Linked DNA regions of Styela clava. Each later gene encodes a partner of the first gene's protein in a complex. Links are inferred from orthologs where the notes say so. Each region holds a gene or a part of one and is shown in the gene's direction. Other genes may lie near its edges.

The links.
Region 2: the proteins of N-alpha-acetyltransferase 25, NatB auxiliary subunit-like (region 1) and N-alpha-acetyltransferase 20-like are in contact, whole or in part, in a cryo-EM structure (PDB 7STX), measured with the Homo sapiens proteins. The link is inferred for Styela clava from reciprocal best matches to the Homo sapiens genes NAA25 and NAA20. Residues at the interface, in NP_079229.2 of Homo sapiens: Ser226, Glu227, Ile228, Asn259, Asp261, Asp262, Trp263, Gln264, Arg318, Arg321, Leu325, Lys362, Pro363, Cys364, Thr367, Asp368, Val371, Leu457, Thr459, Glu460, Leu461, Ser504, Ala506, Leu510, Leu532, Asp533, Lys535, His536, Ile537, Gln538; in NP_057184.1 of Homo sapiens: Thr2, Thr3, Leu4, Arg5, Thr8, Cys9, Asp10, Leu12, Phe13, Phe15, Asn16, Asn19, Leu20, Pro22, Leu23, Thr26, Tyr27, Gly28, Ile29, Pro30, Leu33, Gln34, Leu36, Ala37, His38, Pro40, Glu41, Pro49, Glu52, Met54.

The regions. Positions count from the first base shown.
Region 1 is NC_135264.1:17,435,069-17,446,923, forward strand, and holds the start of N-alpha-acetyltransferase 25, NatB auxiliary subunit-like, read left to right. Parts: upstream 1-7,313; 5' UTR 7,314-7,351; coding exon 7,352-7,418; intron 7,419-8,538; coding exon 8,539-8,624; intron 8,625-9,086; coding exon 9,087-9,225; intron 9,226-9,900; coding exon 9,901-10,019; intron 10,020-10,926; coding exon 10,927-11,101; intron 11,102-11,855. Other genes in the region: tetraspanin-18B-like, read right to left, coding at 658-825, 1,719-1,880, 2,014-2,199, 3,744-3,803. UniProt on the Homo sapiens protein: Non-catalytic subunit of the NatB complex which catalyzes acetylation of the N-terminal methionine residues of peptides beginning with Met-Asp, Met-Glu, Met-Asn and Met-Gln. May play a role in normal cell-cycle progression.
Region 2 is NC_135250.1:1,477,144-1,488,974, forward strand, and holds N-alpha-acetyltransferase 20-like, read left to right. Parts: upstream 1-6,607; 5' UTR 6,608-6,642; coding exon 6,643-6,822; intron 6,823-7,405; coding exon 7,406-7,573; intron 7,574-8,335; coding exon 8,336-8,521; 3' UTR 8,522-9,536; downstream 9,537-11,831. Other genes in the region: trypsin-3-like, read right to left, coding at 267-414, 1,359-1,503, 2,704-2,764; protein arginine N-methyltransferase 1-like, read left to right, coding at 10,579-10,635. UniProt on the Homo sapiens protein: Catalytic subunit of the NatB complex which catalyzes acetylation of the N-terminal methionine residues of peptides beginning with Met-Asp, Met-Glu, Met-Asn and Met-Gln. Proteins with cell cycle functions are overrepresented in the pool of NatB substrates.

The DNA.
Region 1 (11,855 bases):
TATATTTGTGTGTCATTGGCTGTATATGTATGTATATTAGTTGAATATAGATTCAAATTCGATTGGTTTTATATGCATATTCCGTTTGTATGTGCATGTCACGTTACCAACCCAACACGATGGCTATACATACATATATATTCATTTGAATTGAGTGTATATTCATGTTATCGTATGTATATGCATATCAGTTGGCTGTATATACATATGTAGTCGGTAATAAGTAGTTTATTTTCTCACCATACTAAAAGCACACTTGATGTACAAATTGCAGTAAATAATCAAAAAGCATTTCAAGGAGAGGGGAGCCGCGAAAAACCAAATTTGGTTATCGAGCACCGGCAACCATAAGCAAATCTAACAAGAAAATAATAACAAAAAGTCGAACTGTAAATATACAGTCAGTAACATATATATATATATACGTTACTTTGAAAAAACAATAAATACGTCAAGGCATACCAACCTCGTATGAATAAATACGCCAAGGCACGCCAACCTCGTATGAATAAATAAGCCAAGGCATGCCAGCCTCGTATGCCCAGTAATCTCGCGTTTCAACTACAACAAAAGAGGACTCCGTGAATTGGTTGTATATGTATATTTTGGCTGCATGTGCATGTTACATTACCACTGCAGCTCTATATTCGGAATTACCTCAATGTGTATGTATCCATCTCGTCCAACCTGACAATGCCCTTTATGTATCGGGTATTCTCCTTCGGCGACCAATTTGCAACACGATTCCGGGTATTTCTCGTCGTTATCCGCATAAAATTTTGACTCCTCCCAATCCCAATATTTCAGAAGGCCACAACATTCGCCCTGGAAAAATGGAAAAAAATCCTCATCGACTTGAAATGTTTACCATCGTACCCGCGGGCCAATTACAGACTGCGTAACGACTTGATGGCTTGAAATTAAGTGAAATTGTTCAACGCTTTATGTTTTTGCCTTTTTGCGTTCTAGATATTGCCATTTATTATATCATTGTCACAGTTTAGACTTGTATATATTCGGAACAATTCAATCGTACCGATATCTTAGTTATTTGCCGTTGTAGGCGTTTTTCCATTTATACATTTTAACTAATATATATCGAAATCTGGATTAAAATATTTTTATTTTACCACCTCCTACGTATACAAATAAGAAAAAGCTAACATATACATGACAATAAGTTATCATTGTTAAATTCAATAATTTACATCTAGAATTAGCGCATTTTAATTAAAGAGGCACATTGCACACGCATAACTTGCAGTGGCCTTACGCCGGTCTGATAATTTCCCAAGTCCAGCGCTTTTTCCAACAGGCCACCCTGTGATGTTTTTCACACGACGAAAATGAATTTATGATTTCAAATTAAGGTTTTTATGAACCGCGATCTGACAAACAAATCCCAGAATTATACATTTTGTTTTAGAATACTCCCGCTGCTAGAACTGTTAGAAGCATTTGAACACCCAACGCGTAATATCATATTCCTGGTGCACAAAATTACGCCAGTCATAATCACCATTAAATAATAAAACCGCGATCTGACACCAAAGTTTTTTTTTATAAAATGTTGGTATTTTATGATAATGTCGTATTTATTTTGTACTATATATATACTGAGAAGACCTATTATCCCAAGAAATTGCCCGTTCAACGAGAAAAAATATAAAATTCCATGCATCGTCCAAAGTGAATAAAAATAATGTTAAATTTTGTACCTTGCTCTGAATCTCGTCCCAGATGTCCGTGACCTCGTTTTTGACCCCATATTCTTCCTTGTATGAGTCGACTAACGACCAATGAGCGGTCACGAAATAGTCAAAAATAATGATGCAAGCCACAACCTTCAGGAATATTGCTATGAGAGCAATAATGCAGTACTGTAAAAGACACGTGGAATTGATAAGACTAAAGACCTTTCGACTGAAATGCTAATTATAAAAGAATTATGGCGACGCTTTGTCATAAAGTAATCGACAAATATTATATTTCAAACAAGATTAGGCTACTTACGATCACAACCATGGGTTTGCTCTTTTTCCAAATCGCTACAAAAGCCAAAATCGTCGTCAAAATGATCACCGCACCGGCTACAATGAGAACGTACATTCCAGCGAACATAACTTTATCGATCAGCTTCGTCAGGCTGTCATCGTGGATAGCCCAGATGCCAAGGCCGAGTACAACAGCTCCGGCGATCTGTAAGAAAAAAGTAATTTTTAATAGCAAGTTTACTCAAAGCAAGGTCACTTAAAAGGAAAGGAGACTCGTCTCTAAGCAAAGTTACGGGTGCACTCAATCAAAAGTAAACGAGGCTCATCTCTCAGAAAAGTTACGAGTACTCACTCAGAAGCGAACGAGACCCGTAACTTTGCTCGAGGACGAGTCTTCTTTATTTCTGAGTGAGTGAACGTGACGTCAGTAACACTCAGCACTTTAGCAGTCGCTCGTAACATTTCTCAGAGGTGGATTTCTTTTACTCCTGTGTGCGTTTGCGCGATCATGCTTTGAGCAAATTTTTTAGAACAATTTTACCTTAGTGATATTTGAATCACAACTAAAAGCGGGATAAAAAAATACTGGCACGCTGAAACCAATATATAAAATTTTTCTCGCGAATTGGATATTCAATGGACATTGGCTATCACAAGACTTAAACGATTCAAGTCATTTGATTATTTAAAAGGGGTGTAAAATAAGCGATAAACCGAGGGTGTTAGGTTTGCATTTTCCTTTACTTACAGCTGGTTTGTATGATCATTCTTCTGATTTTTCCTTCCTGTGCGATATGAACCCTATTCCAATTTGGTAAATTAAAAAAACAACTCACAAAGCCTACTGTACCTCTCCTGAGGGTATTATTGTAATTTACTTGTTATTTGCTAATGTTATATCAATTCGATTATTGTATGGTGTTATTTTAGTGTCAGATACATGAGTTAAAAATTACGCAAAGGTTCCGCTATTTACATTATAAAAACAATACTCTTTTTCAGTAATTCTAGAACGGACTGCGAGAATCGGCTAATATTTTTAAAGACATGCGAAAACGAAAAATGTCAAGAAATACTAAACAGATCGGGGTTTTTATTTCTTATAGTCGATTGGCTGTTATTATAGTCCATCAGGATTACCGTTTCTTTGTAACACAAACCCTTTTCATATTCATAAACCTTAAATGCAACTCGTTCAATTTAGATCAGTAGTTTTCATGGGTTCCGCGGCAACCAAGGATTCCGACAATGCTGTCTATGTGATTTCGCGGATTTCCGTTCAAACACTAAGAGTCTAATTAATATATATATGCAGTGATGGGATTCAGCCGGTGCGCACCGGTTCTATAGAACCGTCTCTCGAAATTTTATGAGATCGGCGAACCGGTTAGCATTACTGGTTACTGTCAATGTTCTGTTTGTAACAGAACCGGCTGAAAAATATGCCTTTGTGAAGAAACCGGCTGACAAAAAATTTGAATTTCACCACTGTATATATGTATATTGTTCAAATACCTATTGGGTTTGCCGCTGTTATTAAACTTACTAAACCTGAAACATCATTTTGTTTTATCTGTATTGAATTTGCTTTTATACATAGTTTATACAATTCAGACAATAAAAGACAAGTAAACAATTGCACAGGGGGTACTCGAGCCGCTATAATGTTTCATTGGGATTCTGTTCCACTAAAAAAGTTTGAAAACAAATGTAAAAAATTAATAAATCTAAGCAAAAACATAAACTTACAAAGCATATAATCTGCAATACTATGCATGTCGTCTTCAAACATTTTTCTTTCGCTTGCATTTCTGCCGATCCCGCGCCAAGGCGGTTCCAAAAACTAAGATAGAAACTGAAAAATATTCAACGTATTAAAATTAATTATAATTATATATAGATAATTATTAATTATAGATTTGTTTTAGTCCAGGGCATCGGCAAATGTTGAAATGAGATTGACTGATTATTTTTCAAATTGAAGACATAGTAGCCTGTTATCTACTGATTTGGAATATCGAAGGGAAACGTTTCCGGGGGTGAAAAAACAGAAACCCGGATGAAGAGACACTCTTGCATGAAGAGATATAGGTAAGCAAATTAGCTTAGCAATTAAGTTAGGTTCAACTTCGTCGACTTTATATTTCTCTACGATTCTAGTTTTTACTTATCTACGAGACACAAAATTTAATGTTAATTCTTTGCTCAGTCGTCATTCTTTAATTGAACCCCCCATCGCCAAAAATTTCCATCAGACCTCGCACAGCATCATTTTTTTTCAGCAAGAAATATATCACATTCACTTATGTATCCTGAAAAGCAAAAATAATTGCGATATTGTGTCAAAACAGCTGCTAAACAAAGAACACATATTACGCCACACTGCAAAAGTGTTGATTACCGATGGTTGATCGTGTTGCGCAATCTGTGACGTCAGTCCCGTTTCTTTTTAGCCATACCTCGTATATGCACGATAATAATGCATCTGGAAGGAATATCTGGTCAACTATTCCGATATTCCATCTAGAATGGCATTTAAACCAGAGTCCGTGGTTCTTCGAATAATCAAGAATTAATATATATATAGTCCGCGTGGTTTCTCCCCATGGAATAAGTGAAATAAATCCTCTCCTAAACTTTGGTGTCACTTCCATACGATAGTTTTTTTTCGGTGACCGTACATTTGAACCCATGTGTATATCCGCGGGTTCAATCTATACGCGGGTTCTAAAACCCATGGGTTAGGGTTAGTATGGGTTCAAATATCCGTAAAACAAATTTTTTTTTCATAGGTGCGATAGTATGCAGGTGCAATTGTCGTGGGTTCAGATGTAATGGAACCTTTTTTTCGCATCTACTTCACCTTGAAATGCCATTTTCACGTTTAGTATAATATAGATAGATACAAGCGTAATACTACGCAAATTCAAATAATAGTTATAATTGCCAACGGGCCCACATAATTAGCTACGGATCCGTTGAATATTGAATAAATAAAGTAGCCGACTAGCCGTTATATATAGAGAGGAAGAAATAACATTCCCCAAATAGGCGAAGAAAGGGAATTTAACGAGGAAGGTTGTGGATCACTAGCATAGAGAAATAGTTAATCCTGGCCTTGGATTTCCACTGCACGCGTTGCTCAATAAAAACAACAAAACCAGTAATTCTCAAACGGCTGGGCGCGACCCACAAGGGAGACGTAGACATTTTAAAGCTAAACACTTGTTAGATTTGATCTTGCTCGCCTTAATTTGGATATTTACATTTTCTTTATTGTTCAGAGATTGCGATTTCATCCACGCAACCTGTTTTTAAATAAAACATATTTTCGACTCACTATCTGTTATTTGTAGTTTATTGTTAGCTAGTTATTTTTGAGGTGGGGTGCGCGACTTGACAAATTCTAAAAAGGGGGCGCGGCTTAAAAAGTTTAAGAATCACTGAACCACTGAACGTTCGCACTAAGCTAAGTGTTTTCATACAGCTAACGCCTCGCCTTAGGATCGGTTTACAAACACTAAAAGAATTTCCGATTATCTTATACGTTGCTATTACTGGTTATATCGCCCCAGGGCTGGAATAACGTTGAGAAGTAAGTCTGACTGATACTATTTGGAAGAATGGTAAAGTTGACTTGCATTGTGAAGCAATTGAAACGTAAAGGTTATGTTATAGGGTTTTACGTATTTACGTATTTACGTAAAGACGCCTTGATGATATGGCAAACCACGGCTGCCAGTCCATGTCAATTATGAGATTAGTTAGCCAGTTATTTGTTTCAGATGCATGGACTTTTCGATGGAAGAAGCCGTAACCGACCAGCCATCACGTGAACCACCAAACGGCGGCGCAAGTCCAGAAATCCTGTTGCACATGATTATCCATCCTCCACAGGAATCGAACCTGCGAACCCGCGCAGAGAAATGATGCGCGACCACCGAGCATTTGTCATATTTCAAGCAGACGAGGGGAAAACCAGTAAGACGCTCATCAATATAGTAGGTAAAACACGGTCATAAATGGGTACTCCTGGAGTATGCGCACCAAGATATCGCACAACCTGAACCCTAACCTGGTATACAACCTCAGTTCAGGTTGTGCGCCATCTTGGTGCGCATACTTCAGGAGGTCCCATAAATGGGTTTTATTCACGCCAGTATTTGTAGTAACAGCAATACTGCCTCCGGAATTTATATATTATATATACCTATATTATATATGGCGGAAATTGGCCTATGAACAATAACGATTTATCTGAGTAACGACATACGTCTATTGACGCAGGTTACGCTGGGCGCACGATATCCGTATGTAATTTAAATATTGTAAAGGATCGAGAGCTATTTGTGACAGTAACCGTGAACTCTTTGCCCAGGGTGGGTTTGGTAACTAGCTAGTGCAGGGCTACTCAACTATTTTTACCGAAAATCCGCATACCGAACTTCAAAATTATTTGGGTCTGGTCTTTCCAGAATTTATATTTCGGCATCCTTGAACGCACACTTCCTCGACCGGCTAATGATTATTAGCTAATCAAAATTGCTTATTATGGTGTTATAGTTCTTTTCATATATATTCAAAACTATAAAAGTCATTTTATAAAAGGAAACTTCAAAAGTGAGGCTAATGATCTAAAATAAAGAATTAGGTGCGGTCCGAATCAAATACTCGAACGGTCCGGATTCGGACCACGGTCCGCCGGTTGAGTAGCCCTGACCTAGTGGTAATGAAAGGGAATGATTGAACGCTATATAAATTTTTTTTTAAATATTATGTCTGAAGTGCCGATTTTAAATAGTAAGTAAATGAATTTGAATTTTGAAGTTGACCCCATATATGTAGGGAAATCATTGGCCCCGTGCCCCGTGTGTACAGTGCCTTGTTTCAGGCTATGATATTGCAGGATATTTTACAACTGACGCCGCATTTATTGATGTGAAGCTAGCAAATAAGAACCCTCCATTGTGGTTTGTACTATAATAACGTACATTACGCCTACGCGGAATTGCTTAAGATTAAAATTTGGCCCTTACTTGGTTGAAGATGCCTATTCAAACACGAGGAAGCGATTTTCTGCATGCCAGATTTTGAAGTCCTTGATTGAAAAAAAAAAAAGAAACAAACTACACGAACAAAATATTACGCTGTTTTGCATAGTATTTTTAAAAATTAATATATTTAATAACATAATAAAAAATAAAACACTAATTTCAATTTAACATCAAACTGATAATAGTCGATCAAAAACGATTTCGAAAAGAACTTGAGTACAGCACAGCCGTTTTTTTGGTATTATGCACAGAGATATCTGGCAACTGTATACTCGGGTAGCTCAATGCTTTTCAAATGGGAAGATGGCAAGCCAGGCGACCGCGGTCTCCCTTGGATCTGTAAATGAACGCCGTTTGAGACCCGTTTACGGTAAGAAGTTACGGTTTTGAAACTTTATCCATATACTATAAATGGGGCATAATTTCAAGTAGCACTGATATATAGAACTTACAAGGTAAGGTCTTTACTACTTAGGACAGTGCCCCAGCTTTTCGTTTTAGTGGGGGGGGGGGGGGGGGGGGATTTCAAAAGAGGGAGGGAGGGAAATGTTATGCTTGATTAGATATCACATTATTAGTGATAAATATATTTGTAATTATAAAAATATGTTATGTATTTGACTAACTATCTGCACCTGTATAAGCTACCTTATTTTCTGAATATTCAAATACAATAATATTTTAGTTAGGAAATAAAGTACGGTACAGAATTACGGAAGGAATTGTTAATTCATCAACTAACTGTGGACTGGTAACTGGACAACCATGGTTTGGGCACATGATGAGCTGCTAATCACCTTTCCTCTTTCATGAGATAAAATGTGGCGGGGATTTTTATTTAATTTTTATTTGTTTGTATATTTTTCTTTTTACTGAGTAGTAGAATTTATGTCTCGTTTTTTTCTCTTCTGATCTTATTATGTCTTTGTGATCGTGTGTCTGCGTGCTTTAATTAGTTTTAATACTTTTGGGCGAGCGAACACATACTTCTTCCTTCATCAATACATTTTCATCGAAAATCTGTACGCTTCAAACCTTACTTGAGGTTTCGTTTGCTCTCCCGATTCTATATTCAGTTTTATTTATTTGTTTTTAGCAATTGTTTTATCGTCTATTATGCTGATTATGAAGTTGAAATAAACTTATACCTAAATATGACACTCTATTCTAAGTGCAGTGACAACAGCCTCAAGTTCTGAAGTTGTGCATCGATGACTTTAATTAATGAGTATAAGCATAGGTTTATTTCGACTCCATAATCAACATAACTGGCAATAAAATAATTGATAAAAACAAATAAATCAAAACTGATTATGAAATCAGGGGAGCAAACAAAACACAAAACCTTAGATAAGGTTTGAAACATGAAAAAACGTAGAAAAAGCATAAAATATTGGAGAACCATACTGACCAATGTTAATCTTACTTAGACATAGATTACTTCTATCAGTAATTCTATTTTATTTGTGACTTTATCACCATATTTCCAGAACATCTTGACATTGGAAACAACAAATCAGCTCTTCATGAAGCAGAAAAAGTTCTAAAGAAACAAAAAGATTTATCAGCAGCCAAGGTTAGCTTTTATATCTTGTATTTCATCCAACTCTCTCATGATTTGTCCTTCGTCTTTATTCTTGTCAAACCGTCCTCGACAGACAAACCAGTACATCTTGACATCTCATTTGCCGGGTGAAACAGTCTTAGATGGTTGGATTGAGCGGCGTTGTACTCCCATAGTACAGTAGTATGTGTACCAGGGTAGGGTTAGGCCATAATTTAATTCCGGTTTTCCTTATTTTAGTTCTCTTACGAGTTCGGGGACTGTCTGTGTTAGCCAAGTGAATATAACCCCTGTCCATAGGTTTCTGTCCCTTTACACAACTTGATGTAAAGTAGGCGAACAAAAACACTACTGGAGTAGCTGTTTGACGTTGTTTATTGAATCTATATTGTTTGCCTTTTTTCAATGTGCATATACTTCTTTGCTAAGTGACACAATCTCCCCCATTTTTACTGATTCATTTTATTTTTTCAGGTTTTGAAAGTCATTGCGCTGAATCGTCTTGGACGCAGAGATGAGGCTTTTGCATTATCACAAGAAGTTGCAGCTCTGGGTCCGACAGATGAAAACAGTTTGCAAGGGCTGAGCCTGTATTATAGAGAGACACACAGACGTGAGTATTATTTCTACATTTTGGGGGGTTATGTTGATGGATGACTTCGATGGTATAGAAAGTTGGTGGTATATAAATATGTGGAATATTGCATGGGGACCACCAATACTCTTATATACTTATTTGCCACAGAATTCAAACCTTGAATATATCGTTGATCGATTAGGGATTAACTTTGCATGTTGGAGCAAATGTTGCGATCTCAAACTCTTATTCAGAGAAACAGCTGTACTCTGCCTTATATATAAAATGTTGCTCCAATGTTGATTTATTTATAATAGTGGAAAACGAAATTAGCTTGAAAATACAACTGTAGGATACCCATATATATCCACACTCTATATGGCTTTTTATCTAAAAGACGTTTAGTTTGGAGTTATTCATACTGGGATTCTAAATCATGTAATATGTGAATTGTGCACCAAAATTACTACTCCCGTGAATCAAGATGGCGGACACCGGAACGTAGTATGTGTACTAGGTTAGGGTTAGGCCATAATTTTATTCCAATTTTTCTTACTTTGGATATATTACGAGTTCAGGGACTAGCCAAGTGACTCCTGTAGTATTTGTACCGGAAAAACCCTAACCTGGTACATAAACAACGGTTCGGTTCACATTCTTTGAGAGTACCCCAAAAGCTGTCAGTTATCATAAATTCTTCTTCTTTTACAGATGACTTAATTCCTCCCATTTATGAGTCTGCAGTTTCAAAATGTGTCGGGAACGAAGAATATCTCACACATTTATTCATGTCTTATGTGAGAACGGAGAAACCAAAGGATATGCAAAGGGTGAGTGAGTTTTTCTTCAACATAAAATCAAGCTAGAAATTTATGGAAAAGTAAAGCTTGATAAAGACGCTTTCTGTGCTCCTTTTTTACTCTGAGCAAGGTTCTGTTCAGGCGGGCAATGATACAAATTCGAAACGACCAGGATCTTTCTGGTTTGACACTGAGGTGAAGTGCTGGGCATGGGATTGAAACTAAGACTTTAGGCTGTGACGCCAACATAGCCAAGTTTAACACTTAAATAACCCCCCTTTCCTTGTGTTCTTGGCTGCACTTGGTTTATAATATAGGCGGGAGAGAGAGATTTTGTTTTTCCGTCAACCAAAATATAACTACAGTCATCGTGATAATAAAAAAACAAGAGAGCTACGCTCAAATATATGGACTCGTCTGTTCGCAGTACATTACGGTTTACTGTGCCGTCAGATCACAGTCTACAAATATATTCACACCAAGCGAAGCAGTACAGTAGGACACAAAATGGCGTTTGATGTTCGCAGAACGTTCAGTAACGTCATACCAAACAAAAACAAATCTCACAGAGCTAACAGAAATATTTGAAATAAATAAAAGTAATAGCCTTCTGGGGAAAAATTCTATCTTCAACTACTGAAAATTCCAAAGCAATTGGTCCAGTAATCGAAGAGAAAAGCGAATTTTTAGATTTTCCACTAGGTGTCCAAAAAGTGTCAAAGAACAACAAGGACAACAACAACATAATATTGAAACGATCGTTATGTCCACTAAGTGTCCAACAAGTAATAAATTAAGTTTGGTATAGACGGGGGAGTGATACGAACAGGCGGTCATCAAAGTCAACATCCCCCCTTTATGTTTAAGATTCCCATTGTTGATTTTTGCGAGTATGTATTTAGTTTTTACCTAAAACTATCTTTTATATATTGTTCAGGTTGCCATTTTACTTTACAAACATCATCCTAAGAATCCTTATTTATTCTGGGGCATCATGGCGATAGTAATGCAGGCCATCAATGATGAAAAACTTGGGAAGATGATGTTCTTGCCCCTTGCAGAAAGAATGATTGAAAAACATATTGAGAAAGGAAAAATAGAGGCCGAAGCGGGTACGTTCATTTCGTTTGTTTGTTGTAGGGGTGTCTAAATAATCTGTTTAGACCGGATTATTTAAAATGTGCCTCTGTGGTTTTCTCAAGGCCATAAGAAAATACCTTTACTTCACCATTCGGGATTAGTGAAGTAAATTGAATTTGATTTGTTCAATTGTTTTGTCATAGAGCATTTCCTCCTTCGCTTTCGCTTGTTGGCTTTACCTTGTAAAACAAGAGAGCTACGCCCAAATATATGGACACGTCTGTTCGCAGTACAGTACGGTTTACCGTACCGTCAGATCACAGTCTACAAATATATTCACACCAAGCGAAGTAGTACAGTAGGACACAAAATGGCGTCCGATGTCCGCAGAACGTTTAATGACGTCATAGCAAACAAAAACAAATCTCACAGAGCTAACAGAAATATTTAAAATGAATAAAAGTAATAGCCTTCTGGAGAAAAAATCAAACTAACCACTGAAAATTTTCAAGCAATTGGTCCAGTATTCGAAGAGAAAAGCAATTTTTTTTAAAATGATGGAGACAAATAATAATAACAATAACAACAAAATTTTGAAACGATCGTTATGTCCACTACGTGTCCAATAACTGGTAAAAAAACATCAATTTTATTTTCTACAAATCTTGAACCATTGACTGGTGTATTTATTTGAAAAATTATGGTGTTGAAAGTGTCTGGAAATCGGCCACGAATTATGCAAATTAGGGTTCCAAATTTATGCTATTGTTGAAAGATGAATTTCAA
Region 2 (11,831 bases), on another chromosome or scaffold:
CAAAAGACATTTACTTGCACGTCGTGTACCGCAATAAACCTAAACATTTTTAATGGCTGTTGGTGGTTTCAGTGGAGTTCATAACGTTTCTAATAGAAGTGTCTCGTTTACTCTTAAGTACGCTCATATGGCTATGCATTGAACAAATGTCATAATGAAAAGATTTTACTTTTTTTTTTCAGGATCACAAACACCGGTGATTTACGAAAAAAATTACTTCAAAACTGGCAACGTGCTCGAGTCGACGAGACAATAATAAGACTTACCTCGAGTTTTACCATCATGACGTCATTATCTGTTATCATTGGATTGTATAATTCGTGATTCAGAGCCAGGACTGCTTGGATTGTCTGTTCTGTGCCTTCAACAATGCTTCGGTCGTGGTCGCCGATGATGACTTTGAATTGGTCTGGTCTGTGAAGTTATAATTTAAAGTTAAGTTCGTTCTTCTGAAACGAATAACTGATTAGCCGTTGATAAAATCGTTGAATAATCTTTCCAGGGCTGTAGCCAGGATTATTATAAGCGGAGGGGGTCAAGAATCGGAATCGAAAATTCCCGTGCAACGGCTTCTAAAAAAAGCGTCGCAATTACGGCATTCGTTAAAATAGCCGACTTTGTCAGTGAATAACGATTTTCTGTTGTGTGAAATATTTAATACATGGCCGATGCGAGCTTTTAAAATGTATTTGATATTAATTCAATGGTGTTCATCATAACTCGCCTTCGCGTGCGTCGACTTACGATAAAATGAAAGCACTACTACTAGAATACTAGAGAAATCTGCGGACATAAAATGTGTGGTAAACTGCCGATTACTTATGGAAAAATAATTTATACTATTTCCCGCTTTTAGGCAAATGATTTTGATAATGATAGTTGAAAAATATCGACTTTTTTTTTGTTTTTTGTTTTTTTCTGTTGCGACAAAATATTCAAATCCCAGAACGATACCAGCATTTAAAATGCCTTTCGGTATTAATTTAATTGTGTTTAACGTGTGTAAGTCATGGTTGCGTCGACTCACGTAAAAATTGAAGCATTACTGCTCTAAAATACGACGGCAATCTGCAGACGTGACATGTGTGGTAAACTGATTGATTTTATCTTCGAATGTATTCAAAATAGTGAATTATTCGGTATTGGACATCCCTGGTATTGAATGACCTGCTGATAAATTTCAGAAAAGTTTTTCGTATAATGTGCGCAAAAATATTTTTATGTGAGTGTGCCACTATTGAGCAAATGAGAACAAAAGTAAACGTATAACCTTCTTCAATTTTTACGGGTACAACCATGTATTGGCAAACTACTTGGTATTGTAGTCTTTATTAGTCACATATTTCAATACTACTTACTCGTAATGACAATGTGCAGCCGATAAAACCCACGACTCGTGAATCAGAGTTCCGCAGCAGAAATATGACGAATACCGATCAAGATGTGCGATATACGGAGCTGAATGAGGTCTGGCTTCGTATCCACCAACGATCTTGTCGCATTCTAAAAACAGGAGAGAAATGATAAAATATTTGGACGCGATGGTCAGGTAACTCACATGGCGACAGCAATTTGAGCAAAATTGTCAAATTTTGAAACTATTTTACTGATGTGATATGGAGGTTTTACCGGGGAAAGATGGGCGAGAATTCTCGATTCAACTGGATTATTTGAAGAAAAAATGTTGAAGTTTTAAACGTGAACTATAACATATAAAAATATCAGCAAAGTTTGTTTTGAATTATCGACGGGACTCAGATCAAACAGCAACACCCACAAGAATTATTCAGCAAAACGACTCAAAAGTCAACAGTGTTTTTATTACCGAAAAGACAGATAAAAATATAAGAGTTCAAACTATATTCTGATGTTTAGTAAAACGCTGTCAGTAAAATTGTTCTGCCCCGGCCATGGAGGCGGGAATGCACAGTTCAGTGATTTTTCTATTTTCACAGTGAACCTTCAATCCAAACACTTTAATATCCCTAGCATAACTGGTATAGTTTTTTGCTTACATAAAATATATCGATTGCTTCGTGCCTTATTTCACTGCGAGTAGATCCGGTAGCAACGAATCGCAAATCTATCACAGCTGGTGGTGCGATAATTTGTTGTTTCAAGATGTTCTTTCAATTGTAACTAAATCTTATTCCTTTACTTAAAGCTGTGCAAAAATTTAACCCAAGGGTTCTGATATCATTGTCTATCTCAGTGGTTCCCAAACTTTTTAATATCGTTACCCCTAAATCGAATAACTAAAAGCTCAATTACCTCTTCCATAAAAATAAAATTATAATCACGGTAATAAGTTGAATGAAATTTAATCAAAAATGAAGCTTTGGTATTAGGTCTCTGCTAACCGCGTTACCGAATGCATTAAGACGTAATAATGCTCATATACCAGATGCGAACATCCAGCTTTTCCGCAGACCAGTAAAAAGTACGGGGCTTACACAAGAGATTTTTTAAGACGGTTAACGTATGAATTACCCCCTAAGAATGTCGAATTACCCCCAGTTTGAAAACCACTGGTCTATCTCATGACAACTTTAGAACTTCTCGCCTTCTTCTTTTAATATGAAAAGTTTGGGAAAGAACTAAGAAAACGGTGAAATAGTCGATTACACTGCGCCGATCCTCACCTGTATCAAAATGAACATCATACAAACGACATAGCCTTATTCAAGTATACTGGATCCTTACCTCCATTTCTGACAGATAAGAAACACAATACAGTCCAGCAAATAAACTTCGATGGAAACATGTTGCTCCAATTTAGCCGACGTAGTAACTTTGTTAAATATGTGCTAGTACCCTACTCGATCCACTCTATTCTGTTTATCCAGTTGTGTTATTTAATAGGGATCCGCCAGAAAAAAAAATTCACGCTCATAGAATAACAGGTAAAATGCGCAAATATTTTGTCGTGACTGTAAAAAATCGGGAATATTTCATCCGCTACTCGTTCGTTGGTTACCTAATCAAAAGTAAGCTTGCTTCAGTTGAATTCAATAGACCTCAATTAGAGTCTGATATACTGGCGAAATTTTCACTAGTTTTTAAATAAACACCTACATCAATATTACACGCAAATATATTTACAGTATGAGAAATTGATACAAGGGATGTCAAACAACATTCTACGATAATTTACATTACACCATGCATGGCCGTTTATAACAAACGGTTTGTTTTACGTCACTCTCTGCCAGGTGGCAAGTTCTCACGCAGACGAAATTGAAAGAACATAATGACATCAGTTATCGTATAATATAAATTAATCACAATGAATGGGATTTCCTCTGCCATAACTATGTTATTAAGTATTTTATACTTTTACTGCGAAGGAATTTTAGACTTAAATAGACTATTACGCAATGAGCGTTTCAGTTTTACTGGGTGTCTCGTGGTGGTCCGTTGCGAATTTTGAACTATATGCCTAACATCGTATACGCCAGCATATTTGGTCCAGAAGACTGAATGTGGGCGAGAAAATTGATCGCGGTCTCAGGATGATGAATAATTCGCTTGTCAGTGTTGGCCTCTTTCACCATATCATTGTACCTTAAAACCCATCACCCACCCAGTATGTTTCATCACAAAATTTGCACGCCCGGACGACATGAGTCCACGTTATCACTAGAAATTTATACGTACTGGGGCTGCATGTTTGTATATTATGCTACATATAGAATAGGCAGCGGTGGAATCCAGTAGGTTTGCGTGAATCCTTGGAATGTCGTAATGATCAGCAAACCCGAAATTGTGCATGGTTTTGTTTTGTTAGTGAGTTCGATATGGAAAAGAACCCGTTCCTAAACTTTTGAAATCCCATCACTCTGTAATCTGAATCATCTATTACGGCGGTGTGGCTCATCGTACTAAGCATTAGGAATACGCTCGTCTCTGACTACTCTTGCATGTGTTCGCAGGTTCGAATCCCATACAGAGATAGTTATGTGCGAGAGGATTGCTGAACTCCTCGTCGCCGTCGGGTGGGTGACGTGACCGCTGGTCGGTTACGGTTTTCTCCACCATCAAGTACATGCTTCCGGGAACAAATAACTGGTTAATTAACCCCGTATCCGGCATGGAAAGGTAGTCATTCAGTACCGGTAGTTTATTTTCCACTTAAATGAGCATACACTTGACAAAAACTGTGGAAAAAACATAAAAAAAAGGCATTTTATGATGAAGGGTGGCGTGAAAAAAATTATTGTTGGTTATCAAACAGGTTACCGGACGTGAGGCCGTTAATCTGCGTTATCGGCTTTCCTCTCCCCCGGGATTAATATGTAAATCATATCCCATTAAAGATAATTCATCTTGAACTCTACATAGTACAACCAAAAAAATAGGATGGGAAAGGATTTACATATTTATCCCGGGGGAGAGGAAAGGGATAAGACGGCATAGGACCACAATATTTATACCTATTTGTGGCACTGATTTTGCCAATCTTCCGTGTTTTTGTTTTTAGGCTATATGTTTCATTGGGACGCGGGGCACAATTATGGTGCCTGTTATAGAAATTGTGTTTGATCCGAATTATGCTCACCATCGGACCTTCGCGTTCTTTGCACGGATTCGCAGGTTTGAGTCACGTCCGGTTACCGGTCCATTTTGGGTATAGGATTAGTTAGGCAGTTACGGTATTTGTTTCAGATGCACAAGCTTGATGGCGGGGGAAGCTGAAACCGACCGACCAAAGGTCTGCAGGCACGCCACCGGTACCGGTACAGTGCAATACGATTTTTCAATAATGAACAAAAGTTGGGATAGGCAAAATGTTGCGTTGATTTATTTTTTGATTTGGTTTTACTTTATGTTACCGATAGCGATACCTGTAACCAGTTTCATTTTTCCAGATGCCAAACATTGCAGATAACTCTATCCCTATCCTGAATGTATTTGATACCGGTACCGGTACCAGTACATTTTGTACGGTACCGGTACCTCATAATATTGTAATACCGGTACCGGTACTAGCAGACTTATGTTACCGGTACCGGTACTGTATTGTGAGGATAGCCTAGGATAGGATTTACACGTTTATCCCGGGGGAGAAAAAAGTCGATAAGACAGCTTAATCATATGGCGAACCACTGCCTCTCGTCCGATTACCAGGTCAGGTATGGGATTAGTTAGCCAGTTATTTGTTTTCGGAAGCATGGACTTGATGGTGGAGGAAGCCGTAACCGACCAGCGGTTACCGGTACGTGAACCACCCTATGGCGACGAGGAGTCCAGCAATTCTCTTGCACATGATCATCCACGCATGGGATTCAAACCTGCGATCCCACGAAGGGTAATCAGAGATGCAGTGGCGAGCGTATTTCTAACGCTTAGCACGATGCCGATGCGCCACACCCGGTGTCTGGATTTCATGGCCTTTTCGAACGAGAAATCGGGCGTGCAATCAGAAATTCCCGCGTGCAAATAAGAATTTCTGGCGTGCAATTATAGCTCACGGCGTGCAAAACAACTGCGCCCGCTAAACTGATTTCGACCTAAGATACCTCTCAATACATCCGAGTGTTTGTGCGACTTTAGATACCGGTACGGTACTGTTCAGTACATCCGTGTAAAATTATTGTATTAAAAATACGCTGAATCAGAGCCATAACTGGCCAGCGTCGGTGAGGAGGCGATTTTTCTCACGGGATTCCTATCATTCAACACGATATGGTGATTTTTGCTTCGCATTTTTCGATCAGGCCAAATCTTGCAAGCAAGTATTAGTCGACAATTGTAAAGTTATAATTTTTTGGCATCTTTATATTACTAGATTATTGATTTAAAAACTATTTAAACCGATTTACATTGGTGAGCAATTGCAAATTTTCGGCGTGCAAAATTGAATTCGCTCGCGTGCATTTTTGTGGAGCGCTAGCGCCCTCGGGCGTGCATCTGCCATGGAATCCAGTCTGACGACACCGCCGAGCCACAGGTCTGAGCACTTTCTTCACAGATCCTGTTCTTTGATTTGTATGGTGCCAATATTGTTATTACTGTAATATGATTTGATAGGATAGAATTTACATACCAGTATTCATCCCGAGGAGAGGAAAGACAATAACACTGTTTTTTGCGAGAAAATCAAAATATACTTATATACGGTACACTGCTTAATTAATAATATGTATACCATGGCAGCATGGCCTATCGTCCTTTACAAATTTTTCGAAACAGTGCTAATATGAATCAGCTTAGCTTATCATGCTAAGTGTAAGGAGCACTCTTCCTCTAGCACTGAATATTTAACAGTTCAAATCCGGTAAGGAATAATTTAATGTGGAAGAATTTTTGGATTCACCCTATTTTATTATCAAGTCCATTCCCCTGAAACAAATAACTGGTGAACTATCCAATATGTCACCTGGACTGGTACGGTAATCGTAAGGAGATGCCGGTTTGTATACTATAAGTTTAAGCCTGTTGATAGCCTCCGTCTCCCGGTGATAACTTGAAAATTCATGCTCCATAATTGTATAGCTCACTTTGGTTTAAAAATAATCATTGGCAATACTTATATTATTAATGTCTCGCTTATTTCTAAGTGATTAGGTGGCCAATCCCATAATACAAAATAAATCAGTAAAACTTTTCTCTCTTTTTGTACAGCGTAGAATATTATATAGGATGACCTTCTACCGACCTTTCACCTGCTTTGACCTTTTGAAATTCAACAATGTGAACCTTGATCCTTTGACAGAAACTTACGGACTTTCATTTTATCTTCAATATCTTGCAAAATGGCCAGAGTTTTTTACAATTGCAGAATCACCATCTGGAGAAACTATGGGATATATTATGGGAAAGGTTGGAATCATTTGATTATCTGAATTTGTGAAAAAAGAATTTTCTGATCGCAATAATTTTCAATTTGTTTAATCTAACTCTTTAATCGAAAATCGGGTCAGTTTCGACAATTAAGATACTCAAGTCATTTAACATTCAATGATCTTGAATACATCAATGCAAAGTAGTTGAAATAAATGTTGTTTTGATTAATTTTTACAGTGTCAGTAAATGGAGCTTACTTTATGTGAGGATCATATCTTGAATTCTCAAATGACCAATTTTGAAATTCTAAAATCAACAAAACACTTTATCGAACATTAACAACTGATGAATTTTTGCCATCCTTGTCTGATTATGTGAATAAACTTGATTTCGATAGTTTCAAGTTCAAACATAAAATTCTATGTTTGAAATCATAACTTTCAACATAGGATAGGATTTTTATATTTATCATATGTGATAGGAAAACAATAAAATGTCTTAATCATATGGTGGACTCGGGCCTCTTGTCTGGTTACCATTCCATGTCAGGTATGGGAATAGATATGAGGTAGTTGTTTCTGATTCATGGACTTTATATTCATGTTACTTCCTTCTCAAGGTCGAAGGGCGTCAGCCTGAAGAATGGCATGGTCATGTGACAGCAGTAACCGTGGCGCCAGAGTACAGGCGTCTCGGACTAGCAGCAGAGTTAATGCGAAGACTGGAGGAAGTTTCAGAGCAGAAACAAGGATATTTCGTGGATCTATTTGTAAGGAAGTCAAATGAGGTATGATAGAAAGTTTTCACGAAATACAGGTTGTCCATAAACTCCCTTTATAATTTCAATTTTGTTGTTATGTAGTCAGTTCTCAATATATCTCAATCAGGTTTGTTGTTTCTTAGTCAGTAATTGTAAAGTATTTTCACTTCATTTAATACATCTGTGAGGGCCAGAACAATATATGGTATCGATAAATTTCCTTTGCAGATTTAAAAATTCTTAAGACTTTCTGGACACCCTATGTTTCTCAATTTCGCGACAGTTGGCATATCATCGCTATAGCACAAGTTTGCACATTCGAATCCCGTTTTGTGGTGTGGTTGGGGATAATTATATGTGAGAGGATTGCTGGACTTCTTGTCCATGTAACTGCTGGTCGGTTTCGATTTCCTCTATAACTGGCGAACTAATTCGATACCCAACATGGAATGGTAACCGGACGAGTGACTGTGGTTTGCCATACGATCAAACTGGCTACCTCTCCCCCTGAACGCTTTGTTAAATTGTGACTGTTGATCTTCATTCTATTGAAGTAGTTTGAGATAAAAATGACTCCCAGAAAGGGTTGTTTGCAAATTTAATCCAAATTTTATGGATTTTTTATAAAAATTGTGCCATTAAAAGAACATTGATTACAGTAAGCTCATGCTTGCTAAATGGAGATATTTGTGTGGTGTCAATTTTTTGTGCTTTGGCGCTCAGAAATATTACTATATCCATATTTAGAGTGACAGTCCATAGTTCTCATTTAACATTTATTTTATTCAGATTGCTGTTGGGATGTACAAACGTCTGGGCTATTCAGTCTATCGAACTGTTATTGGATATTATTCATCACCTGGAGGCGATAGAGATGAAGACGCTTTTGATATGAGAAAAGCACTCAGCCGTGACATTTTCAAAAAATCAATCATTCCGCTCAAAGAACCTGTTAAACCCGAAGATCTTGAATAATAAAGAATCCCAGTCAGAAATAAGTGGAAATTGACCAAAGCACTTTAGTCTGCCATTGTAATTTTGCTCAGTTATCAATCTTATTTATTACTAAGTTACTTATTTACTCAATTACTTGGAGCAAATTCATCCAAACAAAAAACAGAATTTATATCATAGGAACTTTAACTCAATGGTAGATTTTACTTTTTTTGAGAGAAACCTGTTTGGCTTATATTTTATCATGAAGCCCCTTTATATTTCTACTCTAACCACCTGCCTTAGCTGTCTAAATGCCTAATCTCTGATGAAATTCAACTATCGTTTTGACGTGTGCATGAAAGCTCGTGAATCTGAATCGAATTACTCGTTAACTAAATATATGCCTGACATGGAATGGTAACTGGATGGCAGAATATATAATTAGGCCATTTTATCCGCTTTACTTCCCTCATAGTTAAATGTGAAATCAGTAATTTATTTCTTCGCCATACTGAAAAAATGAACTATAAATACACAAATTCAAAGAAATTTAAAAAAATCTAACTTCAGAGTGAAAGGAGATGCCAAAACCAATTCTGAAAGTCCATTCTGTAATGAATTCGTTGTCATTTATTTTTTCAAACCAATTGCTTTGGTTTTGCATTCTACAAATTTCTTTGCAATCATTCTGTTAATGAGTTTGCTCTGAACACAGGCTTTGTTCAAGCGATAATTCAGAAAGGGTGTCTGCTTGACATTCGGAATGGATGTTTTTGGATAGTTTATTGAATTTTTTCTTTCTGTGCAAAAAGTTTCACAAGTGGAATGGAATATTTTCAATTTGTGATGTATGAATATTATGAAATAATATTTCATCATTTTAGGTAGCCTATGCAATAAGCTACAATCCTGGGTAATTTTAAAGAAAAACAATCAACCAAATATTTCTGATTGGGAGATTGAAGCTTCTTTTTTACATATTTTTTTTCATATTAAACCAGATTTTTTTTTATGTGTACTTTCTTGTCATTCCAGAATGATAGCTTCACTTTCACATAGTGTTTTGTAACTGGGGGGAAGGGGTATAAAAATATCGTAAGTGCCTATTGAGGTTGCAAACATGGTGTGTTTCAAAGCGTATAAAATCTTTCGTAGTACGGGCAGCCTGACAACCAGATCAGATAAAGTGAGTGAATGAGGATAGTTTTAGGCTCCATTTTTATATTGATTTTCTCACTGACGTGCAATGCATTCTAGTGAGGGCCTGACTTTTATCAGTTACGCTTCTAGTCGTAATTTCAGGTCTGTAGATTAAACAGTTCAATGATACAGGTTTGTTTCAGACCACCACCAAGGCAGTTTTTATAACTTTTATTTTGATCATAATCAGAATACCAGGCAAAAAAATGGTTGGTATAAGCATATAAAAACTGATATGAAATCTGGTTAATTTTGATTCGACGATCAACGTAATATACCGTGAATCAACTGAGGAAAGGCAGTTCGGTATGGAAGAGCACGAAGTTTAAAAAAACACAGAATCTGAATATATATTAAAATAAAAACGTGTTGCCAATTAAAAAATTGCTCGAAATATATAGTCTCCGTGGCATTGTAGCTTGGCCGATAGCGTCAACATATTCATATTGAACATGTTTATTTTTTATATATTTCGTATTTTCTAGCTATGTAACAGATTTACCATAAAAACGATAAGACATTAGTATTTGTCAAAATATTTTGGCAATATTCTTCTACTGCTTTTTAACGTTGTTTGTCGAAATCGAATCTCTCTCTCTCTCTCTCTTGATAAATATTAGGCCTTCATAAATGTTATAGTATCGTCCAAAATCTACAATTGTTGCAAGCAATTTTGTGATTCATTACTATTATATAATTTTTAATTATTTCTTTCGTCGTTAACATATTTCAGGATTCACTAAAGCTGTTCTATACCGCTCCTAGTGGTTGTTTCACACGTGCGTCACAGTCTGGACCTCAATTTCCTTATTTCTCGTTGTTTATCGTGCACCTGTCTACGTTTCTTAGCCAGTATTGTATTTAATAGATATCTTTTCTTCGCGTTTTCACAAAAAATGGAGTGTATACCACAAGAAATATCACCTGTAGCAACACTGGAGCCGGCCACTAAGGTAGGAGATTTAACATACTTCTAATATACTACGGTAGTTTACCGTACACTAGGTAATAAGTTAATGCTGTAATGACAAACCCCTGTTTTTCGTTTGGGTTGGATTGGAGAAATACTGTATCAAATAATATGTCCAATAATGGTTGGTCAGTGTCTGAGTGTAGAAGAAGCCACCCTGCCTGCGGTAATGCGAACTGCCTGACAATTCTGCATTAGATATGATTAGTACATTTTGACATTGACATTTTGTTGTAGTTCGGGCATTTTTCATACTTTTGTTTACATACTGGCGAATAATGATTCGAACCTGTCAACAGACAGGAAAATCCAGCAATTGGCAGTGTGTTGCTTGAGCTTAATAATTCGATTCCCAAACTGATTGGTAATTATTTTTAACATTTAGCAACTTGAGGTCCGATCTATTTAGTCAAACTCTTTCAGTCTTTCATATCGGAAACTGATGACCATCAGCTGGGCACAGTTATCCTATTCCAAGATGTCCCAACGTTGGTTTAACACTCTATTTGTCTCTGAAACTATGTTATCTGGCCAAGCTTGTCTTAATCGAAACGCGTGTCGGCAGTCACATGACGCAAATTACGTTTTTACGAGAAACTCTCGAATGCTACCAGAAAAAAATTTTCCTTCAGTAAGTTAGATTATTTTTTCATGGAATCCAATAGTGACGTTTTTGGATTGCGCTTTTTTTCAGTTTACTGCGTAGTGCAAGTGTGACGTTTTGAGTCGATATGAAGACACATATTGGCTCGTAAATGAGGGGTTCGTGCTCACCATTATAATGGACGTGGTTTGATTTGGGGCCTATTCTTGGAATGAGAGAACTGACCATTAACGAAAAAATATACCCTTCAACCTAAATTGCCTTTAATAACTTTCATAATACCATTAAATTGCTGACTCATTCACTCATTTTATCTTATTTATATTTAATCTTATTCGCATCCAATGCCATGATAGTCTTATATACAGCATATACACAAGTGTCAAGCCTTGATGACTTTAATCGGTCCCGCACACCGACCCACACAAAGCAATATTCAATTACTGCTGAAGTATTTTAGTTATTGTATTATGTTTATAATAGTGTTGACTTTGTTTTGTGGCAATAAATCTCTTTCTCTCTCTGACCTGAAATAGAATGGTAGCCTGACCAGAGTTTTTTGTTTTATTGACTTT